Linked DNA regions of Drosophila melanogaster. The protein of the gene in region 3 interacts with the protein of the main gene of each other region in a pairwise test. Each region holds a gene or a part of one and is shown on either strand. Other genes may lie near its edges. The genes, in order: CanA1, CG16721, CG10508 and Prm.

Evidence for each region.
Region 1: the proteins of CG10508 (region 3) and CanA1 interact in a two-hybrid assay, tested with the Drosophila melanogaster proteins (one large-scale study listed by BioGRID).
Region 2: the proteins of CG10508 (region 3) and CG16721 interact in a two-hybrid assay, tested with the Drosophila melanogaster proteins (one large-scale study listed by BioGRID).
Region 4: the proteins of CG10508 (region 3) and Prm interact in a two-hybrid assay, tested with the Drosophila melanogaster proteins (one large-scale study listed by BioGRID).

The regions. Positions count from the first base shown.
Region 1 is NT_033777.3:31,037,790-31,045,402, forward strand, and holds the start of CanA1 (calcineurin A1), read left to right. Parts: upstream 1-1,584; 5' UTR 1,585-1,759; exon of another isoform or gene 1,760-2,195; 5' UTR 2,196-2,349; coding exon 2,350-2,521; intron 2,522-3,754; coding exon 3,755-4,086; intron 4,087-4,174; coding exon 4,175-4,286; intron 4,287-4,488; coding exon 4,489-4,634; intron 4,635-4,691; coding exon 4,692-4,909; intron 4,910-4,969; coding exon 4,970-5,063; intron 5,064-5,327; coding exon 5,328-5,453; intron 5,454-5,599; coding exon 5,600-5,681; intron 5,682-5,928; coding exon 5,929-6,006; intron 6,007-6,265; coding exon 6,266-6,350; intron 6,351-6,415; coding exon 6,416-6,513; intron 6,514-6,601; coding exon of another isoform or gene 6,602-6,757; intron 6,758-6,814; coding exon of another isoform or gene 6,815-6,991; intron 6,992-7,051; coding exon of another isoform or gene 7,052-7,201; intron 7,202-7,256; coding exon of another isoform or gene 7,257-7,316; intron 7,317-7,505; exon of another isoform or gene 7,506-7,613. Other genes in the region: CG33920 (uncharacterized protein), read right to left, coding at 6,602-6,757, 6,815-6,991, 7,052-7,201, 7,257-7,316. UniProt on the Drosophila melanogaster protein: Calcium-dependent, calmodulin-stimulated protein phosphatase which plays an essential role in the transduction of intracellular Ca(2+)-mediated signals. Many of the substrates contain a PxIxIT motif and/or a LxVP motif.
Region 2 is NC_004354.4:5,878,223-5,883,923, forward strand, and holds CG16721 (uncharacterized protein), read left to right. Parts: upstream 1-1,646; 5' UTR 1,647-1,886; intron 1,887-2,311; exon of another isoform or gene 2,312-2,447; intron 2,448-2,596; exon of another isoform or gene 2,597-2,611; 5' UTR 2,612-2,830; coding exon 2,831-3,099; intron 3,100-3,163; coding exon 3,164-3,648; intron 3,649-3,712; coding exon 3,713-4,013; intron 4,014-4,074; coding exon 4,075-4,241; intron 4,242-4,257; exon of another isoform or gene 4,258-4,304; coding exon 4,305-4,567; 3' UTR 4,568-5,169; downstream 5,170-5,701. Other genes in the region: Usp30 (ubiquitin specific protease 30), read right to left, coding at 1-1,100, 1,155-1,236.
Region 3 is NT_037436.4:21,208,418-21,216,235, forward strand, and holds CG10508 (uncharacterized protein), read left to right. Parts: upstream 1-1,797; 5' UTR 1,798-2,313; coding exon 2,314-2,387; intron 2,388-3,632; coding exon 3,633-3,741; intron 3,742-3,809; coding exon 3,810-3,971; intron 3,972-4,364; coding exon 4,365-4,540; intron 4,541-4,711; coding exon 4,712-5,074; intron 5,075-5,344; exon of another isoform or gene 5,345-5,426; coding exon 5,427-5,680; intron 5,681-5,733; coding exon 5,734-5,959; intron 5,960-6,194; coding exon 6,195-6,695; coding exon of another isoform or gene 6,696-6,708; exon of another isoform or gene 6,709-6,897; intron 6,898-6,955; coding exon 6,956-7,084; intron 7,085-7,158; coding exon 7,159-7,366; 3' UTR 7,367-7,634; downstream 7,635-7,818. Other genes in the region: CG10510 (uncharacterized protein), read right to left, coding at 1-325, 381-1,256, 1,407-1,577; Trmt112 (tRNA methyltransferase subunit 11-2), read right to left, coding at 7,712-7,818.
Region 4 is NT_037436.4:8,742,311-8,746,925, forward strand, and holds the start of Prm (paramyosin), read right to left. Parts: upstream 3,001-4,615; 5' UTR 2,776-3,000; coding exon 2,653-2,775; intron 2,022-2,652; coding exon 1,965-2,021; intron 114-1,964; coding exon 27-113; intron 1-26. UniProt on the Drosophila melanogaster protein: Paramyosin is a major structural component of many thick filaments isolated from invertebrate muscles.

The DNA.
Region 1 (7,613 bases), on a different chromosome or scaffold from region 3:
TAATTTGCAAACAACTATTCCACGCACTCAGTGTTTAAACAATAAAGTAGAGTAGTAAACCATACTTAAATACCTATTTAAATGCCAGCACAAACGTATGATATTTTTGAAACATATTAGTGATTGAAAATATATAGTGACACTTATTGAGCTCTTCTATTCCTCGGCGACACTTTCGAAAGTTAAATACCCCGTATTGCCATTGGATACCCCAAGAAGGATGGGGGGCTGGACTGGGCTGAGCTGTCAGCGCTTTTGCCAAAATTTCGCGTTGGGAATGCAATGCTCTCATCGGTCCGCCCATCGCACCCCGCCGCACCCCTTACTGAGCACTTACAGCCCCCTCGAATCCAATCCCACCCACTGGTTAGCACCGGAAAGTATTTCTTTCTAGTCTGCGGCGGTCGTGTGACTCGCTTTTGTCTCTCTGCGACTTGCGAATACGCGGGGGCGTCCAAGTAAAATCGTCTCCGCTCTTTGCCAAATCGAAAATCCAAGTGCCATCGATGCGCATTTGGCTGGCAGCGGGTGCATTGGCATTGCAATGGATTCCGATTCGGAGATTCCGAATGTGATTCCGAGTGCCCGAAATCGGGCGATCCATCCTTCCCAGCATATATTATGGAACTGTCTGTCTGTCGAGCGATATAGCGCTTCCCCAGCCAAATCGTACTACATATCAATTGACCATCGCGACAAACAACATTGACGGGGCAAAACACACATATTGTTTGTGGCTGTGTTTTTTATGTGGCCATCCCCATCCCCACACAGATAGTTGCGCAAATATTGCCACGCTTCGCATAAAAGTTGCATGAAATCGGTTCCACCAGCGAAGCATTCAAATGAAAAGCAGAACCGCGAATGCGCTATCAAAATATATATAAAAATCAACTTACTATACTATATTGAATGTACTACCCAAAAAACTGTATTTATTTAAATTTAAATCGTTAGATAAAAGCTTTTGATTTCTTATGTTTTTTAATTTTTTTTTTTTAATCAAATATAAATCTTATCCGAACCGAAACACCCCCTTTTAATTGTAGATCGCATATATTTTTGCACGAGGCGCGCACAAAGTCAAGACTATAATTATAGCGACACCCACCTATTGGCGCCCAATTTCTGGCAAACACACACTCGCGCTCAATCACACACAAACACACACACTCGGACGCACGCACACACAATCAATATCACGGTCAAGTTGAAAATCATTGAGAGCGGATGTGGACATGGAATGGGGCATGGAGGTGGAAATGAGGATGAGGATAGAGATGGGGATGGGGGTGGACATATCACAGATGTGTAAATGTCTGTGAAGGTCGAGCAGTCAGTCGCCCAGTCGACGATCGCAGAAGGGCAGTGATACGAAGAAGAGACCAGAGTGCGTGTGTGACATTAACCCAATAAAATAAACAAATAGATGGAACCCTACGAGAGCGTGGTGTATTCTTATTTATATTTTCATTTTCGGCGGAGAGTGGGAGTCAAGGGCGTGAGATCGGCCGATCACAGCCGATCTTCTTCGGGCTTTCAAATTGGGTCTTCTGAATGCCAAACGATGCCAGCGAATTTCGCTCAGTTTCGAGGAAAATCGCGTCGCGCCAACTTGGGAAATGCGTTGCGTCGTGTCCCGTGAAAATCATCGCGACTAAGGCCCCGAGAATCCCCAAAGGATTAGCCCGAAAATAATAACAATAATCGCAAGCGGCAAACGGCGAACTGCAAACAAAGTGTGACCAAAGTGATATATGTGTGTGCCTGTCTGGCCGTCTCTTCGCAAATCCATTGCTATTTTCGTTGTCGCTCGCTTTGTGGGCAATTAGCACAAAGTGTCGAGCAATTTTCCGTCTCAATTGAAGTGCTGCTTACCCTTTGCCAAAAGCATCCGTTAAACAATGTGATGACTTAATGAAAAGTTAATACGTCTCTGAATAATTGCAGCAAATTGAAATATTAATTGTTCAACATTTGTTTCGTGTGCGCTGCGGGCGAAAGTTGTCTCTATCTCGCTATATTGGCATTGCCTGGCTAAAAATACAAGAAAGTCCACAGCTATACAAATTATAACAACAAGTTTTATTTATTGCCTAAATATATTTGTGTGTTTTGTGCGCTTCTGTGTTGGTGTCTCGTCGTCCATAAAGACGCTAGGCAAAGGCGTATAATTATCTAAATTCCTGTGTTAGTAACACTTTCAGCACCAGCAAACAGTCAAGCCATTAAAAAATATATATCGAGCTAAGGCATCGCAAAAATCAGCACCAACAGAACGCAGAAAAATTAATAAAAAAAAATAAAAAATTTAACAAAAAGCAGGGGCCGAATAAATAATCAAGCATCATGTCGGCGACCTCCACGCGAAGTTCGGTGACGAGGAAATCATCGCTATCAAAAAGTTCTAGTTCAGACAAATCGGCAAAGTCCTCGTCGAATTCCTCGAAATCTCCGACAGCCGCCAGTGGAAACAAACAGAAAATGCAGTACACAAAAACCAGGGAGCGCATGGTCGATGGTAATGATCTCTACTCTCTATAAGCACTACGGACCCCAATCAAGCATTATCCCAAGCACGATTCCCTACTGCGATTGTATCTTTAATGACATGCGATCATGCTTCAATGGCATTCCAATGTGCTGACCGCCGTCATTAATGTCAAAACTGAGGGTTTCACAAATTATTTCCTTTGAACATTTCAGTCGGCGGAGGCAAGCGTTTCGAAAAGTGTGTTTTGAGAATTGGGAAGTCATGCTTGTAATTTTCAAAACAATAGCATGGCTGCACCTTCTCGAGGAGCAGTACATCGATCGTTAAGTTTTCATGTTTAAAAACTAATAAATGGACTTTTGAAATGGAAACAAACATAGAAAGGAAAACATTTTATAGCTCATGTAAATTTATCTAATTTCAAAAAATGTTCTTTGAGCAAGTTTCAATCGATTTATTTTACAGACCATTTTACAATGCATAATTGCTTATTATGCGCATTATTTATACATAAATAATTTACAGATTTTTAATAACCCATATATTCCGATGCAACTGCCATAAATGTGCTTTTATTAATCAATTATTCGGCATCGTAACTTAAAACCCTTAACTGAAAATGCGGTACTCGCTTTTGTTCTTTGGTTTATTGAGTCCATAAAAATTAATTTAATTATCTTCGAGCACCCATAACAAGCAACAACTGCAGTACATTGGCATTTTATTGGCCATTGCGTCAAAATTCAAGACATTTACCCAAATTATGACAATTAAAAATGGCGTTCGCCCTGACGTTTCGATGTGTGTGTGTGTTCGATTACGTTTGTTTGTTTTGTGTGTGCCAATCAATTTTCGACTTTTATATTCACTCAGTCAAATTTTGTAATTAGCGTACGAATCTCATGTGGCTGCATCTGGCGGAATTTCGGTTTTCTTTATAGCCGGGCCAAGAAAAGCGGCCAAACCGAATGAATATTGGCGCTAAGTTGCAGCACCTCGTTAACCCACATCGCCGTCGGACAGCGATGTTTATTATAATTCTATCAATGCAAGACTACACCGAAAAAAATTCAGGGGAACTGTAACAATACGAGAAACCCCATTTTCAAAGAGATGTTCCATTCACGTCATATAAGATACAAGATACAATATATAATTAACAATTGAATCCAGGGGCTTCTTCTTCTGGAAATGGGTGATAACAATTTACTTAATAATCTTTACTTAATAATTTGATTAATTTCTTTGTTACTCCCCTAGATGTTCCACTTCCGCCCACCCACAAGCTGACCATGTCGGAGGTATACGACGATCCGAAGACCGGAAAACCCAACTTCGACGCCCTGCGCCAGCACTTTCTGCTGGAGGGGCGGATCGAGGAGGCGGTGGCCCTGAGGATCATCACCGAAGGAGCCGCCCTGCTGCGCGAGGAGAAGAACATGATCGACGTGGAGGCACCCATTACCGTGTGCGGTGACATCCACGGGCAGTTCTTCGATCTCGTAAAGCTCTTCGAAGTGGGCGGCCCGCCGGCCACCACTAGGTACCTTTTTCTAGGCGACTACGTGGACAGGGGATACTTCAGTATTGAGGTGGGTCCATATGAAAATTGTATCTTAACTTATCAGGAATATATACTGCGTTTTCCATTTTTGTATTAAACGGTCCACTTAATTTCAGTGCGTTCTCTACCTGTGGTCCCTGAAAATAACCTACCCCACCACGCTTTCCCTGCTGCGAGGAAATCACGAGTGCAGGCATCTCACAGAGTACTTTACCTTCAAGCAGGAATGTAAGTTGGACTTAACTGAAGTTAATGCCAGAATTTGCTAGTTATGAGAAAGTTGATTTGTTTCCCGTTGATATAGATAAACTACAAAATGAGCAAACCTGCATGCCTCAGTCACTTTACGAACTTAATGCGCTTTTAAGTGCGAATATGCATGCTATAAATCTCCTTCCGTCGCTAATTCATTAATTTTTCTCTGTTGAAGGCATCATCAAGTATTCGGAAAGTATTTACGACGCCTGCATGGAAGCGTTCGACTGCCTGCCCCTCGCCGCCCTCCTCAACCAGCAGTTCCTCTGTATTCACGGCGGTCTGTCGCCCGAGATTTTCACACTCGACGACATCAAGACGGTAATAAAGCAGCGCTGAAATGTTTACAATATAATGCATCTGTGCGGATTTTCTCAGCTGAATCGCTTCAGGGAACCACCGGCCTACGGGCCCATGTGCGACCTGCTCTGGTCCGATCCTCTGGAGGACTTTGGCAACGAGAAGACCAACGAGTTCTTCTCGCACAACTCGGTGCGCGGGTGCTCCTACTTCTTCAGCTACTCGGCCTGCTGTGAGTTTCTGCAGAAGAACAACCTGCTGTCGATAGTCAGGGCGCACGAGGCGCAGGATGCGGGGTAGGATCGGAAGTACCATGGTGTAATATCCATATGATTATCGAACTCCTTCCGCTTCAGGTATCGCATGTATCGGAAGAACCAGGTTACGGGCTTCCCCTCGCTGATCACCATATTCTCCGCCCCCAATTATCTGGATGTTTACAATAACAAGGTATGAGATAGTTCCACCTCTCTCCCTCTGCTCACCCTGCTCACCCTATCTCTTTCTGGGTTGTTTATTTATCTTGCTGTTGTTGTTCCTGACTTTGCTATTTTTAAATAACGAAATCTTTTTTTGGCTGCATTGCGAGCTGGTGCGAGTTTAAATCGCGCTGCGTTCGCAATACCCTCTCTTCCATCTCTTTCTCCGGCACTCGCCCCGTCTCTTTCTCCGCTCGCGCTGATTTTGTCAACCATCGAACCCATTTGACAAAAGGCAGCTGTGCTCAAGTACGAGAACAACGTGATGAATATCCGCCAGTTCAACTGCTCGCCACATCCCTACTGGCTACCCAACTTCATGGACGTCTTCACATGGTCGCTGCCCTTCGTGGGCGAAAAGGTGGGTTCGCACCCAATCGGGTGGGATTATCTATGTATTTTGAGTTCAGTGATGGAACTAAGCCATAATACTCGAACTAGAACTTTCAAAAGTGTCTGAAATCTTTATACGTGATTTTAATATCCAATTTACCATGCCATTCAAAGGTAACCGAGATGCTAGTCAACATCCTGAACATTTGCTCAGACGATGAACTGGTGGCCGGACCCGATGACGAGCTCGAGGAAGGTAAGTTTGGGGATCCACAGAGCGATTCTGTCCGTACTAGACTGTGTGTCAATGTCGCAGTGCTTTGGATGTTGTGGGGCCAATACGGATACACGTGAATTACAAACTAATCTTCTATTAAAAATATTTTCCGAAACCAAATATCGAAATACGACAACTGCAATCTACTACCAACACCCATAATAATTTCTGTACCAACACCACCACCAACTTTCCACTCAAAACACGTCCAAAACACGACCAAAAGAGCTACGCAAGAAAATTGTGCTCGTGCCGGCGAACGCGAGCAATAATAACAATAACAATAATACGCCCAGTAAGCCAGGTAAGCCAGGTATTAAACGCAGGCCCAAAGTGAAGCCAAACAGTACCGCCAATGCAAATGCCACTGCCATTGCCACTCCCACTGCCAAAAATAAAAATGCCTGAGCCAACGAAAATCGCCTGAGCGAAGATAGCGAAAAGCTTAGTTATTGCCTTGCGCCCTGCTTTGATCGGCTTTTCAGCGAGTTTTCCAGCTGATTACCATTACATTTACCCCGTGACCCCGCGAGATTCCGTCTAATCGAGCCCTCAATTCGCAGCTTCCATGTCGGCGCTGCGCAAAGAGATAATTCGGAATAAGATTCGGGCCATTGGCAAGATGTCGCGCGTCTTCTCCATCCTCAGGTGCATAATGCCTCCTATAATCCCGTGGATTCAGCTAAATAATTCAATATTCCCACATCCCGCAGGGAGGAATCCGAGAGCGTGCTCCAGCTGAAGGGTCTGACGCCCACGGGCGCCCTGCCAGTGGGCGCTTTGTCCGGCGGAAGGGATTCCCTCAAGGAGGGTAAGTCAACACACATAGGTATTCTCAGGATCAAATTGATGTAATGCGTGTAGGGACTTTGAATTATAACATATGCCTTATAAATTAATCAGGATATAGTTCCGTACACTTTGACCACAGCCCTCCTTATGTCGTAGGCCATCCAATTTGTTTCGTATAGGTAATCCCCTTCAGGAACGGGAAGGACCTTTGTCACCTGGTGATTAACGAAGTGTATGGGTAGTTTTTCGATCACGAGATCGTGCTGTATAGAAAACCAGAAACATAAGCACAGATCGGATTTAATTAGGGATATACGCACATCGTAGGGGCAGTTGTGATTCATGTTGGTGAAGGGCCTAATGAAATCATAAAGGTAACTGGCTATCGGGTTCGACTTTGTGTTGTTCATGAATCTACATGCATCCAATGTGATATTGAACATGAAAGGTCTATAGCCATTATATCCATTAAATCGTTTGAGAATTACTCCGTTGATCTGAGAAGAGTAATTGTAGAAGAGAAAATGTTGTTAACCAAATTATTTAAATACCTTGACTTTGGTAATTGGCGTTTTAAATAATTTTGCTTTGATCGACACATACTTGTAGCTACGATTAACCGACTTTATGTAGCAATACTCAAAGTCGGAAAACTGTTTATCCAAAGAATTGCACATGATATTTGTGAACTCAAATTTCGATGATATCTGAGGAAGATTTTGAATTGATTCGTATTATACCTAATATTTTAATAACTCTTACCTCAACTATTGAAATTGAAAGAGCCAAAAGCGCCACTAAACCACAATGATTTACACCCATCTTTCGATATCGACTAACCAGTGTAAGTTGTTTACAGAACCCTATTAATATTCTATTGAATCAGCAACATAAAAACAATTTACAAAGCAATTAATAGCTCCACCAAGCCAGAAAATCATAATGAACCCACATTATAATGAGTTTAGTATAGTTTTTGTTATCAAAAAAAATAGTTTTTAGTGTCTACTAAAATACTTTCACCACAACTCAGTCGATGTCGTAGGCAATCCAGTGGGTTACCAGTTGGTAGGCTCCTTCGGAAAAGGGCAACTCCTTTGTTCCTTAATGGTTTACAAA
Region 2 (5,701 bases), on a different chromosome or scaffold from region 3:
GGTCTCGTTGCAGGAGTCACACTTGACATCGCTCAGATCCTCCGATGTGATATACTCGCTAAGCAAGTGGCCCAAACTCAAGCCAGTTCTGCGTTGCGGCGGCAGATTTAGCGTTATGCTGTCGAACTTATCGTACCGAACGGCCGACTTGGAGCCGCAGCCATTGCACACGATCTGTGCGCCCATGGCGCCCTGAAACGGATGCGCCACTTGGCTGGGCATCATGTTGGACCAGATGGACACCCGACCTGGTCCGCGATGCAGGCGCTCTAGCGATCGACAGGAGCTGGACACCCGGCGATTCAGACCCTCATCCTGCTGCTGTTGGGATTGTGGAAGTCGCGGTCGCGACGAACGCTCGCCGCCCAACATAGGCGTAGCCAAGGAATCCGGATTGCTGACGAGCGGAAAGCCAAAGGGTGTCCCTGGCGAAACGGCATCCAGAAGCACGGATCCCAGGCGATCGTTTCCGTCGCGTTCGCAAACAGAGGCAGGCGAATCCGGTGTGTGGGCCTCGGAACGCACCAATCGCTGCAAACTGGTGCTCTCATCATACTCCATGTTTAAGAAATCAGTGAGCATGGCACTGGAGGGCCGGTTCGGTTGATCCCCGATCCTCTGGCTGGCTCCCAGTCCCGCTGCCATGGAGCTAAATGATCGAAAGCCCCCTACTGGCGTTGCTGTGCCTGCCAAGCTGCTGTTATCATCGTTATCCGTGGGCAGAGCATCCGACAGACAGCCGAGGGGCTGTGGTCGTATGGCCTCCTCCTCCAGGCAGGTCAATAGCACGTGGAACAGCTCGTGGGCGTCGTGCTCCTCCTGTGGAATCACCCAGCCCAGGGCATTCAGAGCCCGGAGAACGGCTCCCGGTGAATAGGGATCGCCGCGCAGAGTGGCATGGGTGCCATTGACCACTTCCAGAGTGTTTAACATCGACGTAATTAAGCTTTTTCGATCCGGCGAGGCGTTGTTGTACAATTGCAGCCAGGCAATGAACTGGGGACAGGCGGCCATCGCCTGTAGCAGGGTGTTTAGGAAGCAGGTCAGTCCAAAGTTGTGGAGACCGGCAATTTGGCCGCGTCGTTGACGCAAACGGGAACCTGCAAATGTTTCGCTGGAGTAGGGAACTACGCCATGGAAGATCTACTACTCACCCGAAGGACCCCAGAAAACGAAGGCTCCGACTACGGCGGCTACCGTCACTCCGGCGGCCATTAGAATCTTCTCGCTCTCCATGGCTTGAGATTTCCGATGGCTGGTTTTCCGGTGCAGATCACTGCGGTACCGGGAACTCCCAATCCCGCCGCCAAAATCGCACACAGACTAACTCTAGTTAGGAATTTAGACCGAAAAAATTTTTGTGTCTCTTGATGTGTTGCAAAGCGATTCAGTTGTTAACACCACAACGTGCGGCCATTACGCAACACTGGCGCGCAATTATCGTTAAATTTGCAGAGAAAATCAAGTATTTTAAAATTCAACCGAATCGTTGTACATGTGAATGTTTCTACTATAAGCATTAAACAAACATAAGTTTGACAGCTTAAATTTGTAAACGTAGAATATATTTCCCATACTATTGTATCGTCTATCGATAGCGACGATTTGATCAACTTTCGATAGGCACCTCGAACAGCTGTGTGGAAAGGGGATTGTAATAAAGGAAAACAAAGTAGGCACAACAACCAAAGTTTTCAATCGAAACGGAAACATTCGGATATCAGTCGTCGTTCTTAATAGTTCAGATTAGAATAAAAATCCTCCTGGAGGAGCATAATTGAGTGAAAATTAACTGCAAAATTTGTCTGTGATTGTGGAAAGTGAATCAGCTGTTTGGGAAAAGTAAAACGGAATACTCTGGAACCTTCTCGTCGTTTCTTCCTATTGTAAGTATTCGGATTGGCTTTCATCTTGTTTTAATGCAGCCACTTTGCATCGTCCTTGTGTCTATTTCCCAATTTTCCAATTTTCCCCAGCTGACTTGCTGCGCAATAGGAAAAGCAACAACAACGAAACATAAATACATACACACACATACACACACTCGCATGGACCTAATCGCTTCTGTTTTTGTTGCTACTTTATTGCGCCGTTTGTTTATGTCGTCTATTCGCTGCGTGGCCGTTGTGCAATTTGCTCCCATTTTCCACATTTAATTTTGGAATCTGTGCCACGCAGCTTGCCAAATTACATATTCTAGAAAATTTGAGAATTTTCGAAAGTGTTACATTTTATTTCCATTCAAATCTTTTGCGCCTTCTCTCCTTGTCGCACATTCATACATGCAAGCAGACGCGCACTTGTTTGCTCATTTGTGTGTGTGTGCGAGTCACGTTTAACGGGTTCCTTCCGTGTGTTTGTTTACAGTGGGTATTGGCTAATACCTATTTCGAAAATAACAATTGAAACACTATTTTTGGTTGAGAAATATGCGCACACAGCAACAGGTTATTGAAAATTGGTTATGTGTTGCAATTATAAACCTAAAAATATTTTCCTGCCAACTCTTCTATATGAAAATCGATACTAATATGAGAAACCGCATCAAGGAATATGGAAGAGTAACTTGTATCTTGCGATCACTGTATCTAAGACCCCCTTTCTTTCCCAGGCGAACTGACCCCGAGCGGAGCTTTAGCGACGACCTCGAACAAAGAACAAAGAAAGCCCGAGTGCAGTTGCCAATTGCCTTGTAATAATCACCAAGCCATATATACAACTGGCTCTAACCGGTGGTAACCAAATTCGCATTTGGTCGAAACCAGTTGCTGCAGCTGCCTAACGTCGCACTTCCGCCCGTGAGGAGACAACAAAGGACTGGAATTTGAATATGGATGCCCAGGAGAATAGGAGTGAACAGTCGGGACAATCGGGCGACCACGAAGAGCACGAGGAGCGCCGGATCCGTACGGACAGCGAGAGTTCCGTGGAAAGCATGACGCGTTTCGTGCTGCCCAGCTTGGATGGTACTCCGCCGAAAATTGTGACCCTGGACGAAGTGTCCAGCATGTTCAAGAATTTGCGCAACATGGAGCTGGCCCACGAGATAGCCCTCAATCCGGACTTCAAGCTGCAGAAGTACGAGCCGCCCTCGGATAGGTGAGCATGTGCCAGCAGCAGCCCTGTCAGGGAAACCATTCAATTAACATTCCCATGTCCACAGTTTGGAGGGCGCCATCAAGAAGATGGTGCACAAGGCCTTTTGGGATCTGCTGCGTGTGCAGCTGGACCGCCAGCCGCCATCGTATGATCAGGCCATCCGGCTGCTGGCTGAGATCAAGGAGTGCTTCCCGCAGCTGCTGTCGCCCAACAACGAACGTGCCCTGGCCCACATCAACGAGGTGCTGGATGACTCCGTCATCCGCCAGCAAGCGGAGCGGGGTACCCTGGACTTTCGAGCATATGCCAACTTTGTGATCAACATCCTGTCGCGATCCTGTTCGCCAGCTAGGGACGAAGCAGTGGCCGCTCTGCGCAAGATCGACGATGTGGTGGACACGTTTCGCTGCATTCTCGAGCTGATGACGCTGATGAAGCTGGATATGGCCAACTTTATGCTTCGACTGGCGCGCACCGAAATCGCTGCCAATTCGGTGCAGTATGAGAAGGAGAAGTTTAGCAAGTACTTGCGCGAGTTCCATGGAAATGGTGGGTTGTTGGCCAAAAAAAAAACTACAATGCCTTTATTTATTGGGAATGCCATTATTTCCAGTTGGTTTTCCGGCCACTGAGGATTGGCTGCAGCGTCACCGGTCCGGTAGCAGCGATGATGAGACCATTTACAATGCCTACATGCAGCTGATTGACTATCCGGCCGACAAGGAGTTCCCGGAGCTGTTGCGCATCGACAAAGAGCGCTTCGCCGGCCTAAGTTGGCGAGCCCAGCGCTTGATCCTGTGCGCCTCGCTCATCTCGGTGGCCCAGGGCATGCCTATCATATCGCAGCGCCGCGAGAACCGCATCAAGCTGGCCCAGCAGCTGGACATCATTGTGCAGGACATCAAGAACCAGGAGTGAGATACCTCGTGCTCTAGCCGAGCGCTGTTTTAACCCTTCTTCAACCTCAATTCACAGCCAAGTGGCCTCTACCATTGAGAGCTGCTACGAGCAGATTCGCTCCTTTGTGAACAAGGCCCTGGAGCAGGAGAACTTGCCTGCGCTGAGTGATGCCGACCAGGCGGCGCTCAAGAACCAGGTGCTTAAGCTGGCCAACAAGACGTCGCCGGTGCCCAGTTTGATGGGTGAGTTTACTCGTTTATGCAATACAATGTATTTTATATTCAATTCACGTAAATCGCTTGCAGCCAAACGATTGGATGGCTATGTGCGCGTAACACTGCGCTCCAATGGCAGCATTCCGCCGCCGCCCTCAGGATTCGCGGACTACCAAGAGGAGCTGGTTGCATTTATCGCCTCGTTCCGTCGTCTGGTGTCCTACAACCACGCCGTGTTCGGGGAGCACTTCCACCAGATACTCAACAAAACGCTGCCCGGTGAGGAAACGGAGGCTACCACTTCCACGGCCAGTGGCATAAATCCTGGCCAGGCTCAGACTGCCAAGCCTTAGGTGGATTTGTCTACCGTCTTAGGCAACACAAGATACCAGTATACAACACTCAGACACACCTGTAGGCGAACAACAGATCTGGCGGAGATCTGCATGATGTTAGGGCAACCGGAGTGGCGGATAGCATCTTCCGTGTGGAGGAGGAGGGATTCCGCATTCCGCAGCTGCTTTCCCATGTGACGTGACACTTGCGTAGAAAATTTGACGCACGCACCCGTAACCACCAAGTAGAAATGAGTACTCCAGATGCAAATCCCCCTGCAAAAAAGCCAGTGGGATCCGAGGCATCTGAAAGGAATCAAAAATGTGCTGGAGCGTCTGTGATAACAAGAATATTCAACACAAAATTCAAATTTTTGGGGGTTAAGAAAAGTGAACTCGTGAATTATGTGTGCTCCTCAATTTTCGTAATGTAAACCCCCTCTTTATAGTACATACATATATATATATATTATGATTATACACGTGTACCCTAACCCCGGACTAATCCTATATCTTAGACCTTTGTGACCGTAACTCCCATTGAATTTATTTTGATTGTTTCGATTGATTAGCAGTGTTTCGACTGAATCTTCACGAATATATCTATACCTAGTTTACCGAAATTCAAAGTAAATGAATTCAAGTGATTTCATCTTTTTGGTGCGGAAGGGAAAGGTACATCATCTAATTTGTGTGATGTGATTGGATTTTAATTTTGCGAATTAACGAGAAATTATTTAAAATATGCGACATCGCTATGAATTTGAATCTAAGAGGTTGCCAGATCGGGGTAAAATGTAGAAAGTCCGCCAGATGGCGGCACAGCATGAAATAGTTCGCTAGATGGCGTCTTGCTAACGGATTTCTATTTCGTACCAGATTCGAATTACATTTCCATTATTTAAGATTTAATTAATGATTTGGTTACCCACTGATTCCAATATAATAAATTCAGTGAAATAGGTTAAATTTTAAATATCTAACAACTGGCCTTGTCGACATTAAAGCCCATGACCTCGCCTCGCATTCATTTGCAATTTTAGTTTCGTTTTCGGTTTACATTTTCACCGATTTGCCTTCGCAATGGATTACAGTATAATTCGCTTAGCTGCATCGATAGTTAGCTGCATCGGCAAGATATCTGCATTATTT
Region 3 (7,818 bases):
ATTTGATAAAGTCGATCAGGCGCTGATTGTCCTCAGTGAGGCGACGCTTCTCCTCCAGCATCAGCAGGTTTTGAGCTTCGGCCATCGCCTGGCGGCGCCAGAAGTTCCTGAGACTTTTGTTTAGCTCCACGAGTTCCTCCTCGGTCATGTCCACGTGATCTTTCAGGTTGAGAGTCTGCAGCTTGAAGTATTCATCGACATCCACCTCGGTTTCGTCGAATACCTCGCCGCCGAGGATTACCTTTTCCGATTCGGTTTGCAGTTTCCTGCAAGTGATCGACAGGGCCAAGAGTAATTCCCCACTTTTCACGTGCTTCTCCATTTGCTGGAATAATATTTCAATTTAGAAATGGGTAATAGGGCTTGGGACAAAGGTTCACCTTGGTCAACTCGTAGCACTCGCCGGTCAGGATGCGCAACTTCTCGTGCGTGATCTCGCGATCCATCTCCTGGTTGAGCTCAATCTTCTTGCGCACGTTGGTGAAGTACTGGAACTCCAGGCGAAGATCGTTGAGCGTGGAGTTGTTCTCCGCATCCATGCGAACCATTTCGCGCTGCAGTTCCGCCTGCATGTTGATGTACTTGGACTCCTCGGCGTTTAGCTTGCGTGACTCCTCCATGAAAGCCGCCTGCCGCTCCGTCAGCCAGTGGATCTTCTCGTACTTGTGGGCATCCAGTTCGGTGCTCCTCAGCGACTCCACGAAGTCGTTCAGTTGCTGCTGCATGTGCGTCATCCGGCGGACAATCTGATCTCGAATCTTAAATCTGTTCTCAATCTCCGTATTCACGCGATCGTCGCGCTGCTCCAGGTAGATAGTGTAATCCTCCTTCAGCTGATCCCGGGTGGTGATGTTGGTGGCATGGATTATGTTCTCGGAGTTCGTTTTCATGGCTTCCACCTCTTCGGTGCGCCGGCGCACCTCTTCATAGTAATCCCTCAGCATCTCGTCAGCCTGCTGGTCATACATGCTCTTCACCCCGCCCAACATCACGTGGAAGCAGTCGCGAATGTGATCAATCAGCTCCACCGTTTTGCTGTAGCAACGCACGTGCTGATCCTGCGTCTGCGCCATGTCGTCCAGAAGCATCTTGATGTGGTCGTTCTTGGCCTGAATGTTACGTTCCGAGCGCTCGCCCCAAGCCCTCATCTCCTCGTTTAGCTCCTTGATCTTGATTTCGCGGCACATCTCGTGCCACTCCTCGTTGCCTTTCTCCTCCATATGCTTGCCCATCTCCAGCTCGCGCATCAGGGCATCCTGAGAGGATCATGGCGCAACATTAGAAATGATGCGTTTACAATTTTAATATAGTCTTAATATATTATTTTTATTATAAAAATTAATAATATTAAGGATTTGCTTAGGTTCATCCTTAATAAAAACTCTGCGAAAGTTAGTTGAACCCACCCGCATGATGAGCCGCTTCTCCTCGATCATAGCCAGTCGCTTGGCCTCTTTCTTGGCGGCCTTCTTCTGAGCCTTGGTTAGTTTGGGCGGTCCTTGTGGCTCCGGCTCCTCCTCCAGTTCTTGGAGGTAGTTTTCCGAAACACGCGTCAAGCGTGCCAAGATTTCGGCCATTTTGCCGATGTGTAGTTGTAGCTGAACTAAATGCGTAAATCAAAGGTGAAATTTTTGGAAAATTGACGGGGGAGCTAAATTCGAATTGTGTGCCTGTTTGAAAGCTGAATCGAAGTTTGGCGCACAGCTTTCGACGGGCAAATTCCAACACTGGATACCAGCTTTTTTAACGACTATTCGCACAGCATCTGAAGCTTTAACGCCCGCCACTGATTTCCTCAGTTGACTCTCAAAGCTTGGCTCGCGAGGTTGTTTATAGCGTCGCGACTCCAGGATTCCCCAAAAACGATTCCTTTCCGGGTAGCTAAAGCCTGGCTGGCTTGCTTACTAACGGCACGCCACATCGAACTGTGTGTGTGTGAGCGTGTGTATCTGTGTGTTGCGGTCCTTTTTCCCGGCAGGCAGTGCCTTGTAAACAAAAATAACTCTGCTGCCGAGGAGAGGTTGCCATCGAGGGTGGTTACAACCCCCAAATCTGAAACATCCGACGACAAAGGCAACTACAAAGCTCCGCGCAGGATAAGTGGCAAGGGCACTCCTGCCTGCCAACTTTTCGGGGTTGCAGACAGTCGGCAAACAAGCTGCGAATGCGACTTTAAACGTCCATAAACATTCAGGCAGAAAACGAAAATAATAAAACGACGGTCGTTCGGTTTAACTGGGCATCGAAGCGCCTCGCATCTGCAAGTGCAATTGTTACTGTATCTGCATCTGTATCTATTCGTGAGCGGTGAAAATGAGCGAATCCGGTGGCTATCAGAAAATGCCGCCCGGCTGGGACTGCAAATACGATCAAGCAACTGGAAATTGGTGAGTTGCATGTGCACAGCCCGACGTCATAAATATTTATGCATCCATTAACCACAATGTCGTGAAATGCGGACTGTACTGGGAGATGTGGTGGCCAGTTGTGGGATATAGGGGTTCCATTTGATAGGTTGCCACGGGGGCAACTGATAAATTTGCGTGCCAACGTCGCTTGGGGTGGCTCTTTCGGTGGGCGAAGGATTATGGTTGGGTGTGTGGTTGTGGGTGTATGTAGGGGGCCTTGGGGGCGTAAGTCGCTTACTTTAAAATGATTGGGTGGTAGGCGTCCGGTTGAGGTGGTGTTTGCCATGTTTGGCCTTATAGTGATAAGGAAATTATTCGTTAGTTCGGTGGCTTGCAGAACTTAGTTTTGAAACACCTTTGGTATTTAAACTCTTAGGACGCAAGCTCGGTACTAATTTAAATTATTCATTTAACACACAATGGAACGAAGTACAAGCTTGGATTGGATATTGGCTAACTTTTCTTCAGCTTATAATCGAAAGAACTTTCTAACATAAAATTTTCAAAATGTTTTATGTTTGAAGAAAATGTTTTAATTTAAATTTAAATTATTATTACTGATACGCAAAACAATTTTACTGAACTCTAAAGACCCAGCGTGTGGGTACCATGTGGTTCCCTATGGGCTACTTAGCTTAGTGCTCCTTAGCCACTCCAATTGGCCTCGTTTCAGCGGCATAAATTGTGTCACTTCCGCGTCGTCGGATGCCAGCGGGGTCTTTAACATCTCCTTAGCCTATCATACATATATACATATAACTTAACCCCTTATGCTTAAAAAGCCATGTGCAATTAAGCAACATACGTTGTCATACGTTAATTCAAGAGGCCACTCAACCGAAGACGAGCTTTCCATCCTCACGACGTCCTCGTCGACATCCACCCTCTCCATTCCGAAAATCAGAGCAGAGATGGCCTGTCAAACGACGATGAAAATGACGACTGTGCGTCCGCCTTTTGGCAGCTACTTGGCACGTGCCTTGGTTTAGGCGGTTCCTTCACCCTTTACCTGTCCGTCCTCCCAAGGGACCATCAACATGTGGGGAGAATCCCAAACCAATCCACTCCAATCCAGTCCACCACCAACCGGCCGGCTTTAGGATGTGCCTCCACCCTTGGCCTGAATCCAAGAGCTTTCGAATGGCCCTGGGTGGGAGGTCATTTGCTGACCTTTGATTTGATAGAAGCTCATCTTCCATTCGGCTGCCCTTCTTCCCGTTCCAGCTATTACATAAACTATCTGACGAAGGCCATGCAGCTGGAGGATCCGCGCGGCCGCAGTTACAGGCAGTTGCAGAACGAACGCTGTTCCACGGAGTCGATAGCCTTGCAGGTAACCTCCGCTTCCTACCCTGCATTTTATTGATTTTTTATTCGAATGGGAACCCTTGTACTTTTCAGCAGTTGGTCAGTCAGCCGCAGACGTCGCACAACAGCTCGCCGTACCACGTCCATCCCAGCAACAACTTGACTGCAATTCGGGCCTTCCAGGAGCGCCAGCAACCCACGCTGCACAACATCTCTACCAGTCCATTGTTGTCGGCCTCCTCCAGGGGACACTTGGTGAGTATGAAATGACCTGAAGATTGATTTTGATAGAGAAACTACAGCCATAGTTGGCAATCAATAGGCAAATCACGTGTGGGTGCGCATCGAAAAATCTGTGAGCATCATCAAAAATGTGCATAAGTAGGTCGTTCTTTCGCACAAAAAATACGCAATTACCTTCTGATATAGTGATTACAACAAGATATCCTGATTGTAGATACTTGTAAGAGGCTAATAATAGATAATTCAAATAGGCTGAGACCTTCAGGAAATAGTTGTATGTTTTTTAAGTTAACAAACATGAAATTCCATGAGTAGTATCCGAAGCCCCTTGCTTACTTTGCGTTTAAGTATCGATAATTGGTTTGAATGAATTTTTTATTAATTAATTTTCCACCTAACCCGCAGGAAATGTCTTCACCTCTGCCCTTTCAACGAGCTCGCGTGGGACCGAATCTCTCGCGGCGCTCCACCATTCAGGAGACCTCGTTCACCACGCAAGCGGAAACGGATGCCGTGGTGACCAAAATCCAGAACATGTTCCCCACCGCTGGCGAGAACCATATACGTCTCCTGCTCAAGCGGTAAGAAATTGGTCCCGACTTCAGCTAAGCGCTCGTGCCAGCTCAGCTGGCGTACTAATCTGCGTACTTACATCTATGTCTTCTCACACGCCGCCTAATTCTGCTGCTTACTGCACCTGTCTAACCCCACGACTAAACGCTAATCCCACGCTTACTAACCCACCACTCCAGCTACTACAATAGCGAGGCGGTTGTCGTCAGTGCGCTGCAGGTGGAGAAGCACCCGGTTACCATGCCCGGACCCTTTGTGACGCCCCCTTCGCAGCGGCACCTCTTCCACAGCGGCTCCGCCTTCTACATGACGCCACCGGCACGTCGGCCGGACACGGTAGCTAGTCGGCGCACGTCGCGCACGGCCAGTCCCCTGCCCGGCGGACGCTTCGGTAGTCTCGTGAGCGTGCAGAGCGGTCCTGGTGGTCCAAGTGGCCATCAGGCTGTTCTGCCTCCCAGCTCGGCTGTTCCGCCGGCTCTGCACGGATCGCCCCTGTGGCGCAGCTCGCCCAGGCCGCACTCGTCGCCCAAGATGAAGCTGAGGTTCGATGGGGTTCAAAATCGAGGGACATTTCAAAGCATTGTTGGATTGCTTTAAAATCTGTGTTAACCAAAAGATCGGATTTAATCTCTTACTTTACAGTTTTTTATTTTTTGCTTGTAACAATCTATTAAGGGTTATTAGGCTTGGGTTACTTATAAAAAGTTCTGTATCTTTTAATATAATTCGTTGGTTTTAAATTGGTGTTTTGTTAATGTTTTGTTGAAACATTTATTTTATATAATCCAAGGTAACATATTAAGTGACAAATTTTTAAATTCTCGATGTTGTAACATAATATTCTTTTAACTTAAATTTTCTTCGATGATAAATAATATCCAAATTCCACCATAGATACATGAAGAATATATTCCCCAAGGCGGACGAAGAGCTGCTTCTGGATATCCTGGCAAATGCGGATAACAACGTGCAGTTCGCATCGGAAAAGTTGATTTCTTTGGGCTACACAAAAAGAGATATGCAACAGCCACACAGACCCAACAATCGCCCGCCGGACCTAAATCAAGATCAGGAGGCTGGAGGGGATCAGAGTGGTGTACATATACCGCTGAGACCCAAGGAATACACAGAGGAAGAGAAGACAAAAAGTAGGTTTTAATTGTACACGTAAAACACTTAAATAAACATCTTTTACTTACAGTGCAAACTTTGCTTAAGGAGAAGTACCCACAGATTGCCGAGCGCATTATCCTAATGGCTTTGGAATCCGTCAACTATGCAGAGGATAGGGCTACGCAAATCCTACAAATAGTCCAGGACGAGGACGAGCAGAGGGAGCAAAAGCAGGCTCCCATGAATCCCAAGCACCTGGATCTTAAGAAAACCACAGGAACCGAGCAGATCGATGGTGCCAACGAAAAAGACAGGTAGCCCTTGACTTTATGTTTTCCCGCTCACGCGAATAAAACCAACCGATCAAGGTCGTTGGCACCCGCTTTTTCCACCCACTCAATCAAGTTACTCTCTTTGGCTCGCTGCTTTATCCGTTTTTTAATCGACTGCCTATTTTCTATGTGAACTTTCTTTGCTGCCTCCGCCTCTGACTAAATCCCCGAACCAAAAAAACACTATCCGCTTGCCTCGCGCCACTTGATCATCCAGCCTGCCCGCCGTGGTGGAGCCCACCACTTCATCCAAGCCGAAGCCGCCGCACAAGCGCCACATTCTTCCATCGATCAATGTCACCACTCCATCAACGTTCACCACCCAGATCATTTTGGCACAGGCTACGCCCACACCAACGCCCACAGCGGAGGAGATGAAGCTGGAGACCCATCTGTCATCCATCTCTAGTGCTTCCTCATCGCATTCATATGCCTCACCCCCACAATCACCCCGCATCTTCCAGCAAAGCTACGAACGCCTGACCACCAAGAGCATTTTGGCCAAGAGCGGCCATAACCATTTTGGCCACCAGAGCGATACCAATAACTACAGCATCGACGGCTACCTGCATGGCTCCTCAAATGCTAGCTCCTACTCCTCCTACTCCGCATCAATGACGTCCTCATCGCTGGTCTCGTCGGCCCAGTCCAACTCCTCATCCATCGCGAGGAGGCCAGCTTTCGAAAGTCGTGCTCGCACCAAAACCGATTCACTGAAGTATGCCCGCTAAAACCAAAAACCGTTCCGATAACCGTTTTTTTACCGTTTCGCTAAGTAAAATCAATCGTTTTGCGCATGAGTTTTTCAAGGAGTTCGCATGGATAGTATCGGGAAATCCGTTTTTGAGATATTATTTTTGAACCTGTTAACTATATTCTTTCGGCATGCCTTAAGCTCAATATAAAATATTAAATCTTTGAAATATTTTAGTTTAATATAAAAAGAACTTTTATACAAATTTAACCAATTCTCAACAGACATCGTCAGCACTCCCTTGGAAATTCGCATAATTCGGAATCAGCTGAATTTCAATCTATTATCGAACGAATGGCCAGTTTGGGACCCAATTCCCAGCTAAGCAAGGGTGCAGATGAAAATCTTTTGCTGTAAGTAGTTCAACTTAATGTCGAAGTAATAAAAACAAAGACTCATCTATGAATATAATTAAAATTATTTTCAGAGCCGATTATGTCACCTGGAATGGACCCAACACGAAGCTTCTTCAAAAGCAGATCACTCAAGGACCTAATGCTAGTCTTCTCACAGATCGCACCTATAAGCCAAGGGGTGGGAAATCGGAACTCTGCAAAGGACCCCAGTCCGGATTGGCGAAGGGCAGCATCTACGCCCAAGGCAGCAACAAGAGCGCCAACATCAAATGCAACTAGGCGGGAGTATCTCATCTGGAACCTCCCCCAGAGTGCCAAAGAAGTGAAGATGAATCTTAGTAGCCAAGCACCACCCTCCACATGTTCAGACTTACGATTTATATATGTCGTAGTGTTTTTTGCTCTTATCCTTAAACACCTACCAAATACCACACGAGTACGTAGACTCAACAAAAAAAAAAAAAAAAAAAAAAAAAAACGAAGTCACATTCCATCCAAGCTCCAATTGTTTTTAGTAACTCGTAAATAAACAAACTTTAAAACTAACAAACTTATTTAATATTAATGCGCGTCTGGAGAAAGGGGATTATGGGGATTATGGTACAAAAAGCACATGGGTGTAATCTAGACCTCGTCCTCGTTAAGGAGCATGTTTGGTATACCATCGCTGATGGGAAACACACGACCTGTCTCCGGGCACTCCAGTTGACCCTCGAGCACGTCGATCTCGA
Region 4 (4,615 bases), about 12 Mb from region 3:
ATATTGGTTTACCACATGGTACTCACTTGATGTTCAGCACCACCCTCGGCCTCCTCGAGACGCTCGGACATCTGAATGACCTGAACGCTGAGATCGGCTTTCTCGCGCTCGATCTGAAATTTGAAGAATATAAGCAGAGATTAAGAAGAGATTTCATTAGCGACTTGGTATAATGTGAAGGATCTATAAATACCCTGCGCTAGCCATGCTCTGTGGCTACTCAAACAGCCCATAATAAAAATTATAAATCACATTAATCAGTCAAAAATAATTATGCACATGCAACACCTAAAATAACAATGGCATCTTGCCAAGAAATCTTCCACGCAGAGGTGTAGCCATAGTCCGATTGCATCCACGATATATGCGTCTATATATGCGTATATATCTTTTGTGGGCGGCCGCACACCGCTTTCCTAGATTGCATTTCCAAAAAGGCATTCGAACATTTTTCGCTTGAACAGAAACATTTTTTGTTGGCTCCCTCGGAATCTAAACATTTGCTTTTCGCCTTTGTCGACGACCTCGTTTGGTCAATTTTGCGAATTGCAATTAAATGCTATTTTATGAAAGCTATGTGCGGCCATTGGGATTTCTGGTATTTGGAGCTGTCCGAAGCAATCATAAAAAATTCAGCTAACTGAAATGCCCCAAGCTTAAATAAAGAACGTATTGGTCTGATAAATCTCTTTTAAATCTCTCGCTGAATATGTTTGTACATTTATGTTTATGATAATACCTAGGCGAACATGTGTTTGTCCGTTCATTTGGCATAACAAAAAGTTGCCGATTGCCACAAAGGCCACGTAAGTACGGGCCGTAAATCCATTTGCGCCATATGTATCTTGTAGATACATGTTTTTGCCGCCTATATATGCATATGTGGATATGTAGAAAGAATGCCAGGCGGTGTGAAGACTTTTAATGTGCATGAAAATTATTTAATTTTCCCACAGACACACGCCCACAGACAAAAAGCGAAGATTTTCCCGTAGTGAGCGAGCGAATTTTCCTCTCTGCCGCCGCTGATCATGAAGATGGTGATGATGATGACTTTTTGGCTACTTTATTTTCTTTTCTTCTCTGCTCATATTTTGGTTGTTTTCAAGTTAATCATTCGCTTCTCTGTATTGAATGTCGTGCGCTAATTTTAGCCATTTTGTTCCATATATTGTGAGTGTGTGTTGGGGGGCGTTGTATCTGTGTGCGAGTGCGTGCTAATCCATAAGGCACAAAGTAATTAAATTTGATTTTTTAACAAAATTTTCAGAACATTCCTGGCCAGCCCATTCCATTCCGGCAAGAGCTCTTCGCATTTTCTAAATTTGTAACGCCCAAGAGGATTGCGCTGAATGAAGTGCACTTTCGGCCTGCGAATTTTCCCACTTTTCTCTGGCTGTTCCTGACTTTGCTGTCTTTGCGGCCGCTGTCTTTGCAAAGTCAGGGGAAAAATCATTTATCAATGCTCCGCAGGGAAGGAAAAGCCAAAAACGAAAGCGATTGAAGTTCAATGCACATCATTATCATTTACTTTCACACTTTCGAAACTCTACGAAGGGTAGTTTATTCTTAGATTTGCATTTGTTTGCTGACTTTTCTATCGGTTCTATCGCTACTGCTACTTTGGTCTATTTTGATTTTATTTTGGCTTTCCACATATTTTTGCTGTTTTTAGGGTGACATTTGCGAGGTGAAAAAAGTAAAAATGGTTTTCCCTGGCGCTTTGATTTCCATTGGGTCTCGGAGAATGCGGTCTGATCTTTTCTAACTTCCTCGGATATGTCATATCTCTGACGCCGATTTCATCAGCAAATAATCTTATTGACTAAAAACGATGCTCTCAATAAATTAAGAATGTTCAAAAATATTCCAAAGAAACCTATAGTAATACCTTAAAAATACTCGGTTCAAAAATAACTTAAAAATATTTAAAATTATGAATATTTCCATATTGAATGACTCACCCTTTGGCGCAACTCACGTTCAACTTCAAGATCATCTTGGAGCAAACGGATCTTGTCCTGCAAGAAAATGGTGGATACATTTATTGAGTTTGATCTTTTATGGGCTCGTTATTTCATATTATTTGATTAAAACATTCATTAAAAAGCACTTTACAGCACAGTTGATTGATTTCTTCACAAATTTTTCTTCGATGTTTTCTCGTGTATATGTATTGCCCAGAGGTGGCCATTACATAATTTTTTAGCAATGCATATGTATATACAGACACGTTTAGATACATATACAAATCTAGAATTTTGCTTCACCGAATTTTCTATATTTCCACACACAAGAACGCGCCGAGAACTTAACACACGAATATATATCTACGGTATATATGTGCATTTGATATAGAGTGTAGATGAATTTTTCGGGTTTCTTAGTTTGTTTTTCGTATTTTTTCTTGATTATATTCCGATTCTTTTTCAGTCTCTACACAGACACCGAAACAAGAGAGAGAAATTCTCGTAGATTTTGAAGAAAATTTGGCGCACACGCATTTCGTATTCCTATTCCCTGGTCGGAATTCCAACGTCTTTTTGGGGATTTGGTGCCCAATACGATGCCGATTTCTTAAACGATACCGGTCCGCTTCCAATTACGAATTCGAATTCGAGATTCCGAGACGGAGCGGGACGGGATCCTTACCTCCAAGCGGGAGAGCGAGCTCAGGTCCTGGATGTACTCGATGTTCACATCGGCGGTACCGGGTCCGGTGGACGTGGCACGGTAGGAGTATTTCGAGGAGCGGACAGCCTGCGATGACGACATGTTTGCTAGGTCAGATTTTCGATTTTGGTTCTATAAATTAATGTGCGATCGGTTCGCGTATCTAGTATTATGATTTGTGTGTTCCTCTCAAGCGAAAATCTATACAGCACCGCACGCAGTTTTGTAGTTGTCACCGAGTCACCGAGAAAATTCGTAATAAACGTCGGAGTAAGGCTGGTGATCTACTGAACAAGAGATCCCGTTGTCGTTCGAATAAAGAGTATTTCGTTGAATTGGTTTGGCCTGCCAGCTGAATTCGTCTATTTCAACGATTTATTCGGTTCCCTTCGGGAGCCTTCGGTCGCCGTCGGGCGCCATCGGCTCCCCGCCGATCGGATCCGAGTGGGATATACCCTGAGATATATCTATAAGCCACCACCACCACCTATGTGAATGTGAGTGGGACTTTCGAGTGACTTTTCACGCGGCCGTGTTGTTGTGTTAATTGCTCAGTTGTGTGGAAAATTCTTTGATTTTTCATTTCACTTGGGCCGAAGCTTGTGTGAACGCATTTTCACGCTAGTTTGCCTGAGAGCTTGCCCCCTACGAAAATAAACTCAAAAACACGAAGTACGCCTGCTTTTCTTGTCTTTTCTTTTCTATTGCTTACCTGTAATTAGCCTGTGTCATTTGTGCGTTTCATTTTGTGTATCTAGCGTCTGGCCAGAATGTATCTACACATAAATTTTCCCAATTCTCGAACGTACATACATATAAGTCATGTTGAAATATTTGGCATCCTCTGCAGATCATAAAGTTCATAATTTATATTTATTGGCACATTTTCTTGGTTCAGGGGCCTCGGATATTATTTAAAAGGTAGTGCCAAACCAGTATTCCAGCACGTAGTCCCTAGACTATAAAGATTGAGATATAATTCTGGGAGCAAACTTAAATAGAATGATTTGACTTTTGGAAACGGTTTCTAGAACATTAGAACATCTAGAATATTGAATACATTTAAGCGTTAGAGACTATATATGTAAATATTTGAATCGATTGATTTCAAATTGATTTAGCATATATTATTATCAAAAAGAAAAGAGGCTAGAGCATGAAACCCCAGCCAAATATAGAGCCCAAATATATATGCTATACAGATCTCAGGGGTATTACAACATTTTTACACAAGCAGAAAAATCATAAAAGTGTCAAAATTTTCTATGATATGCCTTCTAAATTATTCGCTAACAGCCAATTAGGATTACAGCAATGTTTTCTAAAAATACTTGACTTTTGGCATCGAAACGTGTTATTCGCCAGCATAAATAAATAGACGTAGAGAGTGTGTGAAAAAAAATTGTGCGAAATAAACAAAAATATACAATTTTGAGTGAATCCTTGGCCGTGCGGACAGCAGTCTGCTCAGCCTCAGACAATGCGATGTCATCTAACAATTGTTGTTCAATGGTCACGTAGATGACTGTCTCTGCATTATATCTTTTTGGCAACTGACGGGTCTCTCCATGTGCCCCCATAGTAAATACATATTGTGTAAATAATTTCTGTTACATTGCGAACACGCTTCGTTCGGCGATTTTTGGCTCACTTTTCCAAAGGAACCGAAGCTTTTCGAGTGAAAATTCTCGTTCGTCTTCGAGCGATCTCCTCCACCTGTGCTCCACACACAAACACACATTTGCCTAACTATACTTAAAAATGAATTTTCGCTTATTTTTAGCAACCGAATTTCGTGTTATTTGTGCCTTTTTTCTCGGCTTGCTCATAATCGTGTTCATTTTCCACACACATTTCACCTGAGGCCAACTGACGCACACATCTAGAGCTCTAGATGGGCTAACCATCCTTATATATTAGAGCAGTTTCTTGCTCCGTTCGC